Arabidopsis thaliana: one gene and its partner. The protein of the gene in region 2 interacts with the protein of the main gene of each other region in a pairwise test. Each region holds a gene or a part of one and is shown on either strand. Other genes may lie near its edges.

The links. Proteins that work in one complex are often made in the same cells at the same time.
Region 1: the proteins of APX5 (region 2) and AKR2B interact in a two-hybrid assay, tested with the Arabidopsis thaliana proteins (one study listed by BioGRID).

What each region holds. Positions count from the first base shown.
Region 1 is NC_003071.7:7,552,366-7,558,564, reverse strand, and holds AKR2B (ankyrin repeat-containing 2B), read right to left. Parts: upstream 2,980-6,199; 5' UTR 2,837-2,979; intron 2,714-2,836; 5' UTR 2,696-2,713; coding exon 2,656-2,695; intron 2,572-2,655; coding exon 2,429-2,571; intron 2,346-2,428; coding exon 2,133-2,345; intron 2,036-2,132; coding exon 1,887-2,035; intron 1,812-1,886; coding exon 1,655-1,811; intron 1,530-1,654; coding exon 1,437-1,529; intron 1,160-1,436; coding exon 1,020-1,159; intron 922-1,019; coding exon 822-921; 3' UTR 501-821; downstream 1-500. Other genes in the region: AP19 (associated protein 19), read right to left, coding at 3,678-3,749, 3,839-3,925, 4,014-4,049, 4,149-4,257, 4,343-4,434, 4,524-4,610, 5,441-5,443.
Region 2 is NC_003075.7:17,025,178-17,032,790, reverse strand, and holds APX5 (ascorbate peroxidase 5), read right to left. Parts: upstream 4,206-7,613; 5' UTR 4,141-4,205; coding exon 4,031-4,140; intron 3,948-4,030; coding exon 3,823-3,947; intron 3,720-3,822; coding exon 3,670-3,719; intron 3,569-3,669; coding exon 3,503-3,568; intron 3,421-3,502; coding exon 3,375-3,420; intron 3,296-3,374; coding exon 3,213-3,295; intron 3,127-3,212; coding exon 3,047-3,126; intron 2,960-3,046; coding exon 2,857-2,959; coding exon of another isoform or gene 2,848-2,856; exon of another isoform or gene 2,763-2,847; coding exon 2,586-2,762; 3' UTR 2,233-2,585; downstream 1-2,232. Other genes in the region: AT4G35985 (Senescence/dehydration-associated protein-like protein), read left to right, coding at 1-71, 163-247, 328-523; AT4G35980 (uncharacterized protein), read left to right, coding at 1,205-1,222, 1,645-1,758, 1,844-1,975; RAC6 (RAC-like 6), read left to right, coding at 7,277-7,375, 7,496-7,583. UniProt on the Arabidopsis thaliana protein: Plays a key role in hydrogen peroxide removal.

The DNA.
Region 1 (6,199 bases), on a different chromosome or scaffold from region 2:
TATTTTGTTGGTTTGATTAAATTATAACATTGTATACATATTTTTAATTAACCAGGAGAATTCTATGCCGAAACCTAGACTAATATTGGAATCCACATAAATCCGGGAATTTTTGCCACTAAAAACGTCTAAGGTGGACCAAATTCCGAGGTGCAAGATATGATTTTGTATATCCATTTTAGAAAATTAAGATGTCTTTAAAAAAAAAAATTGTGTTGATGATTTTACTATTGTTAAATTGAAGTAACCTCAATTTTGAGTTTTTTTTTACTGTTTTTTCAATAATACTTTCAAGAGAGAAAACAAAAGAAACAGCAAAGAGCCAAAGATGATTTGAGGTCCAAGTTTTATCATCTTTGCTGTTCTTGAGTTCACTTTTGCATTTCATTCTATCGACTTCCATTCTGCACATTACTTATGTACAAATCTCATCTATTAGTATCGTTATCCTCTATGGGCTTTCTACTCTTCATTCTAATTTACGGTTGGCATGTTAAAAATCTCCAAATTATCTTATCACCGATTTGATTAAACAGTCTATTCCTTCTCGAATATAACAGTTTAAGGGTTTTTTCTTTGTGATTGCAACACTAAAGCCCTGTGGCACACAAAGAAGGACAAAAAAGACTTTAAGAGCCAAAAGAAAAAACCAATTCAAGAAGAAAATAATTCATTACAAAACCATAATAAACATCCATTTTCTCCATCTTTTTTTTCCAGATTTAATGATGAAAACCCCCACAGAAGACAAGGTTGCAATCAGACTCTGTGACACTATTACATGACAGAGAAGAAACATATCCTTCAAGAGTCAAAGCAGCTCAGAGGAAAGCGTCCTTCTCAAGTAGTTTCACCACATCTAGCTGATTGTTTAGCCTGGCCACATCAATGGGATTTTTATTGTCCATGTTTTGCTGAGTTCTGCAAACAGAAAATGAAACGACACTTAAAAGAGTCTTATATAACCATTACTAAGTTGTTTGGAAATCGAATTTGTGTTCTTGTTGTTGCAAACTTACACTGCAGCACCATTCTCTAGGAGGAGGCTTACACACTCTTTCCTTCCATAACCAGCAGCATAGTGCAATGGTGTGTTCTTGTTTTTGTCAATCGCATTTGCATTTGCTCCAGCATCCAGAAGAACCTGAGCACATCTCACCTACATACAAACTCAACCTAGGTCAGCTGGGTTCAAACTTCGGATTAAGCTTTTATAACAACTTCTAATTGCAGATGTAATAATGGCAACTGTCAATTTCCTTTGTAAAGAATGCTACAGATAATTGTGTAATAATCTACTAAGTGAAACCGAAGCTGCTTATCCATCAAGTGCATGATGCTAGTAAATATTGGTAGTATATACTGCCTTCCATGATTCTGTGATAGTGACATTTCGACAGTTTTTTTTGTTAAGGCTTGTTGAGACGTTGACATACCTCGCCGTATCCACATGCAAAATGCAAAGCAGTCCTTCCTTCAGAGTCTTCTTCATCTTTGTTCCCACCAGATGCCAAGGCAGCTTTCAAACCCTGGTTGGTTCAGGAAATCAATGCACAGAGAGTTTATGAGCTAACCTCGATCAATGATTCCGACTTAAGTATAAAATATAGACCGTCAGAAACACGAGAGACTAACAGTGTATGAATCAGTTTACCTCGACATCACCAAGACTAGCGGTCTGGTGAACAATAGACTCTTCCTCTTCCCCTTCTTCGGCCTCTTCAGGTTCAGCTGCAACAGTCTGGTCTGCTCCAACAGCTATACCCATTGCTTCACCCAGCTTTGCCAACACATCTTTATCATTCCAGTACCTAACACCAGTAATCAACTATTAGCCATGAACACAAGTAAACCTAATAATTTATAGCAAATAATGGCATGCTTACTTCATCATAGCAGAAGGACCACCAGCATCAATCTCAGCTAGTATAGGTTTCAATTCAGGATCTTCTTTCATTTGCGCCATACGCTCTGCAAACTGCTCTGATGCTGCAGGGTTACCAAGAGCCTCCAAAAAGGGAGACATTTGTGGATCCTAAACACCAAACAGAGATTCAATGTCATGATCACACCTCAAGTATTGACTAACTAATAATAACAAGAAGATCCGAAAGAGCTTGTATTAAAGGTACCTGCACCAAAGCGTTACCAAGACGCTCAGCCATTGTTCTAAACTCAGGATTCTCCATAACCTGCTGCATTGTCTGCATATACTGTTGTGGATCAAAGTTAGGTAGACCTCCTTCATGAGATCCGGTTGGCACAGATCTCTGAAGCTGCTCAGCTAACTGGTTAAATGAAGGATCTTTAGCTATTTGCTCAGCCAATTCCTTGATACTTGGATCCTGAATAAACAAACCAATCAAACACAAGAAAAAATCCAACCTTTGACTATTCAATGATCATACACCCACAAAAGAGAACTTACATTGAGGATCCCAGCCATGCCGGAGAAATCAAAAGCATTGAAATCAAGCCCAGGATCAGTCGGTGAAGGTGAAGGTGGAGCTCCTGAGCCTGATTCTGGTTTAGTAGTACTCTTACTCTCTTCCTTGGTATCGTTTTTCTCATCTGTTGAAAACAATTTCTCTATATTACTCGAAGAAACAACAACCAAATCGATTCTAAAACTAAAATCGAGATTAACATATATACCTGAAGGAATAAGAGGTGTTTTCTCTGAGCTTGAAGCCATCGGAAAATTACTAAAACCCTAGAAAAAACCAGAAAAAAAATTACAGAGATATATTCAGAAATCGAATCAAGGAAGATCTCTCAGATTGGAATTGAAACGTGATCAGAAAAAATCCAAAAGTATGGTGAAGACGATCGATACCTATCGAAGCTTGAGGAGCTGAAGAACCAAAAATTATGAAAACCCCCAAATGAAAATGTTTTTGTGGCAAAGAAAACGGATATTCTTTCCCTCATTTTTAATTTCAATAATTAAAAAAAATTATATATGGAAAGATGAATTATTATCATTACTATAAATTATTGGATTGGTAAGAACAAGACGCAGTCACGTTTAAGTTTGGGTATACAAGTTTCGAGTCCTTGAGCCCAAGCCCATAAGTGTCTGTTTCTTCTCCACTATTTTTGGTGTTACCATCAAACATTCTTCATGTATTTGAAATCCTATAGATTATTTTGGTGAAACAAGTACTAAGGAGCAAACAGGGCAAAGTGAGAAAAGGGACATTGGCGTTGCTTTTGTGAGGAGAAAGGATAACTCTTCGAGCGGATACCTCCTCTCATGGCGGATCACGGTTACACAAAATGAGGTTAGGTCGCCCGAATTACAAAATTAGGCACGTTGAAGAAGAAAGAACGAGACACTGGCATGTTGTTTGGTGCATCAGTCCTCAGGCTCAAAAACCAATTCTATTCAATCAATCGGACAAATTATAATTTCGAGATGATGAACTTGATGAAATTTCAGCATTCCACGTTTTAAAACGTAACATATGTGAAAAAATAGTATACCATTTATGATTTCGCAGATCAATCACTACTTTTAAACCCAAAACGATGAATGCTTCTTTCTTCTAATCAATCAAACAATCACATGACATGACAAACAAAAGTGTGATTCAGAAGAGAATATCTCAGAGTTTAAGGAAAATATTAACTCATTTACGATTGTTTCAGCTGCATAAGAAAAGTTCAGAAAAGGACTACTTGGTAGCCTGAGCAATTATATTACTTATGGAACTCGCCTCCTCTTTCGCAACTTCCACCAATTGATCCTTCAAATATTATAACACAACATCATTTACACAACCCTTACGGACTAATCGTTTTTGTCTCAGTGGGCATTAGGATTAAGAAACCATACCTGGGCTGATATTATCCTTGCAACTGTTTTCTTGCTTGACTCTTGAAGTTCTCCGGCGATCAACAGCTCATCGAGTATATAATACGCCTAGAACAAAACAACCAGATTCGAAAATTGTCATATTGAAGTAAAATACAGAGAGTAGAGAATCATTGATAGAGTTGAGTATGTATACCTTGTGGAAGTTAAAAATCAAATCGAGTTCACACACCTGAAGATCATAGAATAAACAGCTCTTAATCAAAATCTAGATGTTTTGTAAGGTTATGATAGAGTGGTAGGAGTATATTTTGGATAAGCGTTTACTCACACTGCCAAAGTAGCGGTCAAGAATCTCGACGTAGTGATGAATTATCTCCAGTACCTCTAACTCGTTATCCGCCTCATCAATGCACATGCAGAAGTACAAGCTTGCATATCTGCAAAATTACAAAACCATCATGTTTATAACCATTGTTTTTAAAGTAGCAAATACATGCTACTTATATAAAATATGTCTATTACCTTTTGTAGACAACCTTGTATCCTCTCCATTCAATAAAATTGCAGAGCTTGGGACCTCGGTTCAGAATCACTCCACTGAGTTCACGTATGACCTGTCCAGATCATTTTTCCAAATGTAAGATTAAATAGGCATGCAAAGCATAATGCGGCATTAACTCAATAACACTTAAGCTGTACATACCTTAGATCTTTCCTTCTGCGTATACGGCGAATACCACTTGGTGAGCCTTACTTTCCCTTGTCGACTGACTAGTAACACGAAATGTATCTGAAAATACAAACATAACCCAAAACAGCCACCTTAGAAGTTTTTTTTTTTCTTTTCAAGAAAGCATTATTCTATCATTGTGAATGGCAATACATAACACATTAATTAGTTTTTGACGTCTCCTCACCCATATCAAGCATGAGAAAATTCTAGAATCACAAAGACAGCATCGAGATAAAGAGAATTAAAACAAGACCAGACAAAACCAGTAGTATATATCACGATTTCTGGCAACTCATAAAGATTTGAAATGCACATAATTGCATAAGGCAAGCAAAAGAGGGAATTGTGAGAGATCAAGTACCAGAACTTGAGAATCATTTACCATCATACACCTAAACGCAAGCCACAAGCATCTCAAGAAAAGTTTTTAAACCATTTAAAGATATGGAAAGATGGAGAGATCAACGAGCTTATTTTGCCAATTCAGAAACAGAGGCAAATAAAGAGATGTGAGGTACATGAACTAGCTTAGACCCTATTACATTTGAATCCAAGAAGCTTAATTACTTCAAGAGCAATAGTGGTTCAAAAACAATGAATTGGATTTAATAACTCACAAGAGATTCGAATGGGCAACAGAAACATAACAATTTCAAGCTTCACGAAACAAACTAATCCTTTCACTTCCTAAATAATCGATCAATTCGTAAGCGAGAAAAGAACCGGACAGATCCAAGCAGAAATCTACGGATACCGGAGGATTAGATTCAATTTCATCATCAAATCAAATCGTAGATACTCGATGCAATAGTACAAGATCGAAGGCAGATCCAAAATTCGAACAGATAACAGAGAAGCCCAAAAGCAAAGGGAGTGGCGATTGTTACCATTTTTAGCCGATTGAAGGAAAATCTTTAACAGTGAAGCTCGATTCCCAGAAGAGATCTCCAGAAGCTGATGATCGTGGAAAGTATTCTTCTGTGTCCGATACACATATAAGTTTGTTGGATACGGATCTTGTCCCGGGTCGGAGTTTTTTTTTTTTGAGGGACCCGGGTCGGACTCTTTAAAAATTTACTTTTTATTTATTTTTCTTCAGTTGGTTTTGTATTTACTGGGGTAGTGTTTTAAATCTGGACCGTTAAACAAACAAGATGAGGACTGATCTGACGGTCCGACTTAATCGGATTGCATTTTTACAGATTAAAAATTGCAACAAAATCACAACTTTTTATTAAAAGGTTTAGGCAATTTTTCAAAATGAGATATTATTGTTGTAAAAGTTAGAACAAAGGAGGAAACAAAATATCAACAATTGATGTGCAACCTGAAAATATTGAGAGTAAATTATAACTTGTATGAGCCTCAGCGTCACTATGCATGCATAATAATTTACATTTTTACGTCTATATAAATGATCAAATTTGTCGTAACATAAAATTCATTACTTCAATTGTAAGAGAAGTAATCAGAAATCAATAATAATAAAACTCTTACTCTCTTTGGTTTAAAATCAATAATGATTGTTGGTTTAGCTCTCTGCACAGTCTCTACTGCTTACTTTCTAAGATATCATCAAAGACCCATACACACACATGCCATGAGGAGAGACTTCATTGCCTCAAATGCTTCATTTGTCAAACTAC
Region 2 (7,613 bases):
TAGCAAAGCTGGGCAGAAACTCTTTGGGCTTCTTCCTGGAGAAATGGTTCTTGCAACACTTGATGGATTCAGTAAGTTGACTATATCGTATATCTCTTATCTATCTTTATTAGGCTTCTGATGATTGAAACTAATAAAGATTTGTTTACCCATTTGTGACAGACAAGGTTTGTGATGCTGTCGAAGTAGCAGGAAGACACGTTATGAAAACAACTTCAGATGTAACTACTGAAATCGTCGATCACAAGTAAGTAACTGAAAAAGTTTACAAGAGAATGTGCTCATACCATGCCAAAAAGATAGTTAATGTTTGGATGTTACTTGTAGGTATGGAGCAAAGACAGCACAAGCGACAAACGAAGGGCTTAGCGCAGCAGGGCATGCTTTTGGAACGGCGTGGACTGTTTTCAAGATTAGACAAGCTCTTAACCCCAAGAGTGCCATGAAGCCATCATCACTCGCTAAAACCGTAGTTAAAACGGCAGCTAAAGAGAGAAAGAAGGGGAAAAAAAGTTCTAAGTAGGCTAATGGACGTTGTGTTGTTTGTATATCAATATCATTGCCTTGGTACATAAGCATTAAACAGACCATAGAGGTTTGAAAATATTAGATTTTGTTGTGTTGTGTTGTTGTTGATGCAAAAGTGTTTTGCTTCTTCAAGAATCATGAGATTTATACAAATATTTATACAATTTTAGATAATGTGTTTGAATTGGTAACCGCTAAATAGCATATAAAGTGAGTATAATTTGTCCCTGATCTCGCAAGTTTCCAATAAAATTGAACAAACCTTTCCAATAAGTCATCTGTATTTGTATATACTGACTGATCCGATTTAATAAGAACAAAATCAAATCTTAAAACCAAAAAGAAAAACCTTTGATCAAAAACATGATAGGACAAGTAATTGTGTGATGATGTCACAAGCTTTGTCGTTTTTTTATGCGACCGGAATAAAATACACGGCGTTTTACAGTAAGTAAAATAGTGTTTATTTCACTTTCAGCCCCACAATTTAAGAGAAATTATCAATCAAACCCTAGTAGTATCTGAATAGTCCTACAAAATAGAATTCGAACCAGCGAGCTTGGTGTTTCTCGAATTCGAAGCTGAGATCCAAATTAGGTAAAGTAGGTCACTTTGTGGTAGCTGTCTTCTACACAAGACCAGAAGAGAGCCAAACAGAGGAATACGCTTCTCCACAATGACAGAAGAATACGAGGTGCGACTTCTGATTTCTAATTCTTCAGCTTTATTGAATTTTTTCTATGTTTTGAAATTCAGATTATTAGGGATCAAATCGGATGTAAAAGCTGTGTCATTTTTAATCTGCGCCATGAAATCAAGATGTTGAATCATTGTTTAAAGGAACAAGTATTCAAATTATGGTTTCTTCAATGTTACTGGAATGGGGAAAACCAATTTATAAAAATCTGAGCTTTAGGATTATTAGTGAATGGTATCACTTCCTTTTTGATCAATAAGAATCATGATTAGTCTTAGATGAGTCCTTTGGCTTTTATCTTAAATCGGAATCCTGTGTAGCTTCGTTGTTCTCTGTTTCTGATTCTTAACCAAAGTTCATGACTTTTGGAGTTTGTTGTGTAATTGTTATTGAAGAGTTGAGCTGATGATATCTTATAGGTTGATGAGCAGAAGCAAGCTGCTGCTGATGTGTTGTTTAGTTATTCCAAGTTTGCAATGGCCTGCATTGGTAACCATACTCGTCCTACTGACATGAGGTTGCATTTGATGAAGGTAAGTTATTGAATTGTTTCAGCCATCTAGTGTGATTTGAGTATGACCACTTTTAGGATGATGACTCTAGCTACTTTTTTTATAGGAGATCTCTGGAATGCCAACTTCTCTGAAAGGAAGAGACTCTTCTAGAGCAGCTTCTCCTGATCCACTTGGCGAATCATCAAGCTCCGGTACTGCCAGGCTAGATAAAACGGATAGTTTCAGGGCACTTTGATTTTAGTTTTTCTCCACTTGTCAGGGTCTCATAAGATATATGCTAGTGGATTACAGGATAAGTATCTGTGGCCGAGGAACCTACTTATCAAGTTTTAACTTTTGATTTCGCCCATGATAGTGTCAAATGTTATTAATGCTGTATTCTCAGATGTGTGTTTCTGAAAAAATAAATGCTATGCTGCTACTTCGAGATAAATATATCTCCCATTTCTTGAATAGAGTATTTACTTATCGTGTATTTCTATGTTATTCCCGAGCACAGAACATGGTTTCTTGAGTCAGATTGTTCGTTATGGAAACCATGAGTCATCAAAAGTTGGAAGGTTATAGCAACCTAATCAGCTATTGATATTCCTGGTTGTTCCAAAAGAAATTTAGTCTTCTCATCCACAGTTCGTTTCTCAGTTAGACTCTGTATCTTTAATTTGGTAACAGTAGTAATTGTTTTTGAGGAGAGTTCACATACTGCGATGTAACATCCATAATTTTGTCCAAAGCACTGAAGCTTGAAAAGGAGCATGGAGGTAACATTGCATGAATCTTTGTATTTATTGCATACATTCAATTAACATTTTTCTCTCGTCCCTTATTGCATCTGCGAAACTTCCTCACTTGCCTCTTCTGCTTGCTTCATAGCATATTGTAAAGATCACCACAGCTGCAGCAACAGCGATTCCAAGCGTCTGCTGCGTCACTGCTGAAGGAATTCTTCTTGGCGGATTAAATCCTAGTTCTGAGAGTTTCTTGTGTGAAATTGCATAGGCTTTGAAGAACATATCCTCGTCCTGACATACACATCAAAATCATTTTTGTTGTTGATGAAACCAGAGAATCATCCAAAGTAAAAGTTTCTTATAATCGTAGTGAAATCTAATCTACCTTTGCATACAGCTTAACAAAAGGGTGGAACTTGGGATCATCAAGTAGAGCCTTGTCGGTTTTAAGTTGTAGCAATCCCGGAGTCTCCCCTTTTAGAAGCTCTCTGAAAAACCAATCAGCAAAAAATGTAAGTTTCAGAACTCTCACTCTCTCTCGCTTTAACTCTTGTGTGACTTTATCGTTGGCTTACACGAAATACGAGTTATCAAACTTGAGAGGGTCCTGTGTCCAAGGACCTTCAAAATCTGATCTCTCCTTATGTGCACGTCCCTATATACAAAGTAGCAACCAAGTTGGTTCATTGGAGCATGTTTAGTGACTGGCGGATATTTTGAAGGATAGTTAGTAATAAGTACCAAAGTGTGACCTCCAGAGAGAGCTACAATGTCTCTATCCAATAGACCCATACGAGAGAAGAGAGTTCTTAAATGTGAGGCACCTGCAATAATCCAAAAGGAGGGCTTAGTCAGTTTGTGAAATAGAATTCCGTTGCAGGAGCTACAAGCTGCAGGAGTAACCTTCATTTGGATTTGGAAGTTCTCCATCGTCCGCGGAATCAGCATCCTGGTATCATATTTCTCAACATTAGTAAACTCACTTAGCAACGATGATTTAACGCATACGCTTTAGCGGTAAGTGTAACTACCTTACGGCCTGGTGTAAATGGGATTGCAGGGCCGCCAGTAACCTCCACTGCAACAACTCCAGCGAGCTGAAATGAAATGAAAGAATCTGTCACGCTAACCATCAAGGGGGAAGAGAGTATTTATGAGTTTAATGGCTTCGAGATGCTGTATACCAATGTTGATTTACCTGATAAAGGTCTGCGTAAGAGACTCTGGGATGCTTAGCCTTTACTTCCTCTGAAATTAGAAACCAAAATTTAGACATCAAAGGAGACAGCAACCGCTTGCAGGTCCTGAAGAGTAGTAGTAACGGATTAGAAGGTTTAATCATAAAACTCACCGCAGAAGGCGACTGCCTTCTCCAAACCTTTGTTGTGTGGACGGTTTAGCTCTTCCTTGAATCTGATAGATCCATTGGCACCTCCGGTTTTCTTCTTGGCATCATAGGTTCCTGCATCATGCCATCTATATGCACAGAAGAGTTGGCATTTGGAAACATCAAGACAAGAAAGAAAAACGGAGAATGATTCTGAGAGCAAAGATCTTACGCAAGACGGAGCATAATGGGAGCACAGTTTCTGGAAGAGATGAGAGCTCGAAGGTCTCTACGAGTTTTCTCTATCTCTTTGAGGTACTCTGCATCAACGTTCACTGCCATTGTCAGAATTTCAAAGAGCAAGCAAAATAACTCAGACCGATGAATAAGATTGAAGAATGACTCAGAAGGATGAATATATAAATAGGATTGAAGAAGAGTTTAGGGGAGAAGAATGTTTTGTCATATGGAGAAAGCAAAGTATTAAATATAGTTATGGGAGAACCCTTTTGCTAATCTTCGCATATATTCAATTTTTCATCTATGCAACTATAGTTTATTCAAAAGTTTTAGTTACCATCCCGTCGCAAGCAGAGCTGGGGCATAACTATCTCGGAAGAAGATTCTACCTAACACTAAACTACATTGGTTGTTTGAGATCAATTTGATTGAAATGATTTCGTTATTGTAATAACAAATAAAAACAAGATAACTTTTAGACATTTTTAGTTTTGAACAAGATATGACAAACATTCTAATCCATAAAGACAAGCGTTTTGGTTCCTACTTCGTATCAAGAGGGCTACTTACTAAGTTACTATTTGACCTTGAGAGACGATCGTTGTGAAGGTGTTACACTAAAATATTAATTATCCACTAATGACGAACAGTGTCCTTAATTTTTTGTTGGTTTGGGGTTTTGGTTGGGTCTCTATTGGCCCATTGGGCTTATTATGAATGCTTCTAGTTTTTGTTGTTGTGTAATTTTCATCTCGGTGTCAACCTGTCAAGTCAATTGTCACCTCATGCACAAACGGTAACTTATTTGAGACGCAAAATTTACAACGGTAAGAAAATATAGACGTTAGAAAAGTAGCCGTTGAAAGAAGAAATCCGAAGCTGCCTATATAAGTGGCTCGTGCTCACTCACTTACTTCCCACAATCATTTCTTCTTCTGTATAATCGCTTACTATTCTCGTAGTTTCAGAAAGCAAAAGTCTTTTTTCTAGTTGAAAAACCAAAGAGAGAGAGAGTCAGAGAGCTCAAAGTTCATCCAAAGTTAATCGAGAGCAAGTTTCATTCCTCTCAACAAAGTTCGTCCAAGGTTTCTCGTAGTCACTAGCCGAACTCTGCTTTTAAGATTGGTAAGAATTCTTAGATGTTTCCTTACTTTTCTACGACTTATGTTGTTGATCGAAACACTTTCATGGTCTATTCTTCTCACTAAAGTTTCGTCAGTTTCAGTTTTACGCATCATACTATTTTCACTTTGTCTAAACTCACATCTTCCTCTGTTTTCTTTTTCGAGTGTTCTTGCAGGTTTCTCTCCAAGCAAATAGCTAGAAATGGAAGGCTCATCAAGCTTCACTACAACCAACGCAAAGAAAGAAAAACAGAGAGCGTTCACCCAATTTCCCCGTGATTTCATTATATACTATCATCGTAATCAAGAACTCTGCTTTGAGACTCTGCTTTAGGGTTTGGTAAGAATCTGATGTTTCTCCTTTTTGTTTGACGAATTGAGCCGTGTATTTTCTGAAACATCTTGATTTTGGGAATTGTAGTCATAATGTTAAAGAGAGTTATTATAGTGTAATTTATCTTTGAGAAATTTCTGCCATCTAAACTGTTTCTGACAATTACAGGTGAGAGAGAGAAGAGATAAATGATCCGTCACAGTCACGACAAACGATCCACGGCAACCTTTGGCGGTGATAGCGGGCTTGTTGCGCCGGGGTATCATCTTGGACTTCCAGTTGACTACTCGCCGTGATGTTCAGGGTTAGTTTCATCAATGCTCTTCTTATATGTCTCTCTCAGTCGTTACTCTGTTAAAAGCCATATAATAAATCGTAGACTTGGTGAGTTATTTGGTCGGATTTTATAGATTAACTCTCTCATTCATCCATATGTAGCTCGTGTATTTATGATTTTTATGATTTTTTGTCATTGCATATTTTCAAACTTGTTAGTAATTTTGGAATGTTGATTTGATAAAACTGATTCCAACTCCACGAATCCTGGTTTATCAAAACTGTGATTGTATCATCGTACACACATCAAATAAAAACTTTTACTTTGAACATTTTCAAATGCTAACTTTTTCCGACAAATTAATTACATGGTTTGTGAAAGATTCCCAACTCTTAACGTTTTTGTTCTCGCTGTCGCAGGTTTTCTTATCAAGGAAGGTTACGTTGACCCGAATAAGTTCATTAGCATAGACATCTTTCCTCACGAAAGGCAAATATGACCAATGTTGACATTTTACATACTCGGTAAAATATTTGTTAGTTGAGATTATTGCAATTTTTGGCAGAAAATATTACCACACTTTGTTGACATACAAATAAGTTCAGGTTTGGTCCATACACCACATTCTCACTAGCCAACATGCAAATTCAACTAACCACATTCAATATCATCAAACATCCTTGAAATTTTAACATAAATTTGGCGAGTATGCGGAAGAACTAGTGCATTACAACTTTATTGTACCGCAATTGGCTGATTGGTTTCATAAATATTGAATCATAACTTAGAGATTTTTTCACATTTGGTGAGCATCCGGAAAAACTAGTAAAAAAATGAATTAGAATAGTAAAACAAATCGTACTAGAAATTTTACAGACAGTTAAAAACACGTATAATTTTAGCCAGTGTTAATTTTTCTTATTTGCATTTTAAACAACAAAGACAAAATACATTATGTGCAACTCCTTTATTTTACTTTTTTGTATACAAGATAAATAAATTAATTTGAATATACACTAAAAAATCAAACAGAAAAAAGAAGAAGAAGTAAAATAGTAATTATTTAAAAGACAACAGAAGAAGTAAAAAAAGTAAAAAGATTGCAAAACAGTCGGAAGGTTGAATGGCTGAGATTAATCGAACGCTTCAATGGCAATTATTTCCGGCCATCACTTTCTTCTCTACTTCTTTCTTTCTCTCTCTAGTTGTTGTTCTCTCTCTCTCTCGCATCCTCCAATTCATCGTCCTCACGTTCCCTTTTGTTTATTCATCTTCCTTCCTTCTTCACATTTCTGATTTTCTCTATTTGGGGGGTTTGTTTCCACATTATACATATCTAGGGTTTTGAGATGGTTAATTGAAAGATAATGGTCGAAGTTTCGGAGGAATTGGCTTCACATTGTGGGTGTTTCTGGCTTCCTCAGGTTTAAATCTGAGGTTGATCTCTTTTGTTTTTTGGTAAATTGTGACATATTTTGGCTCGAAGAAGAAGAAGAAGAGGCAATGAGCGCATCAAGGTTCATAAAGTGCGTCACCGTTGGTGATGGAGCTGTTGGTAAAACCTGTTTGCTGATTTCTTATACCAGCAACACCTTTCCCACGGTATTCATCAATCATTCTCCCTCCTTTTTTTGATATCTGATTCATTTGATTCTGATTGTGCCATATATGAATTGGGATCCATACATACTAAAAATGTTGTATACATTTCCATTGGAACAGGATTATGTTCCGACTGTTTTCGATAACTTTAGTGCAAATGTGGTTGTTAATGGAGCCACGGTGAATCTTGGATTGTGGGATACTGCAGGTAATGAATGATGATCCAATTCATAATCCT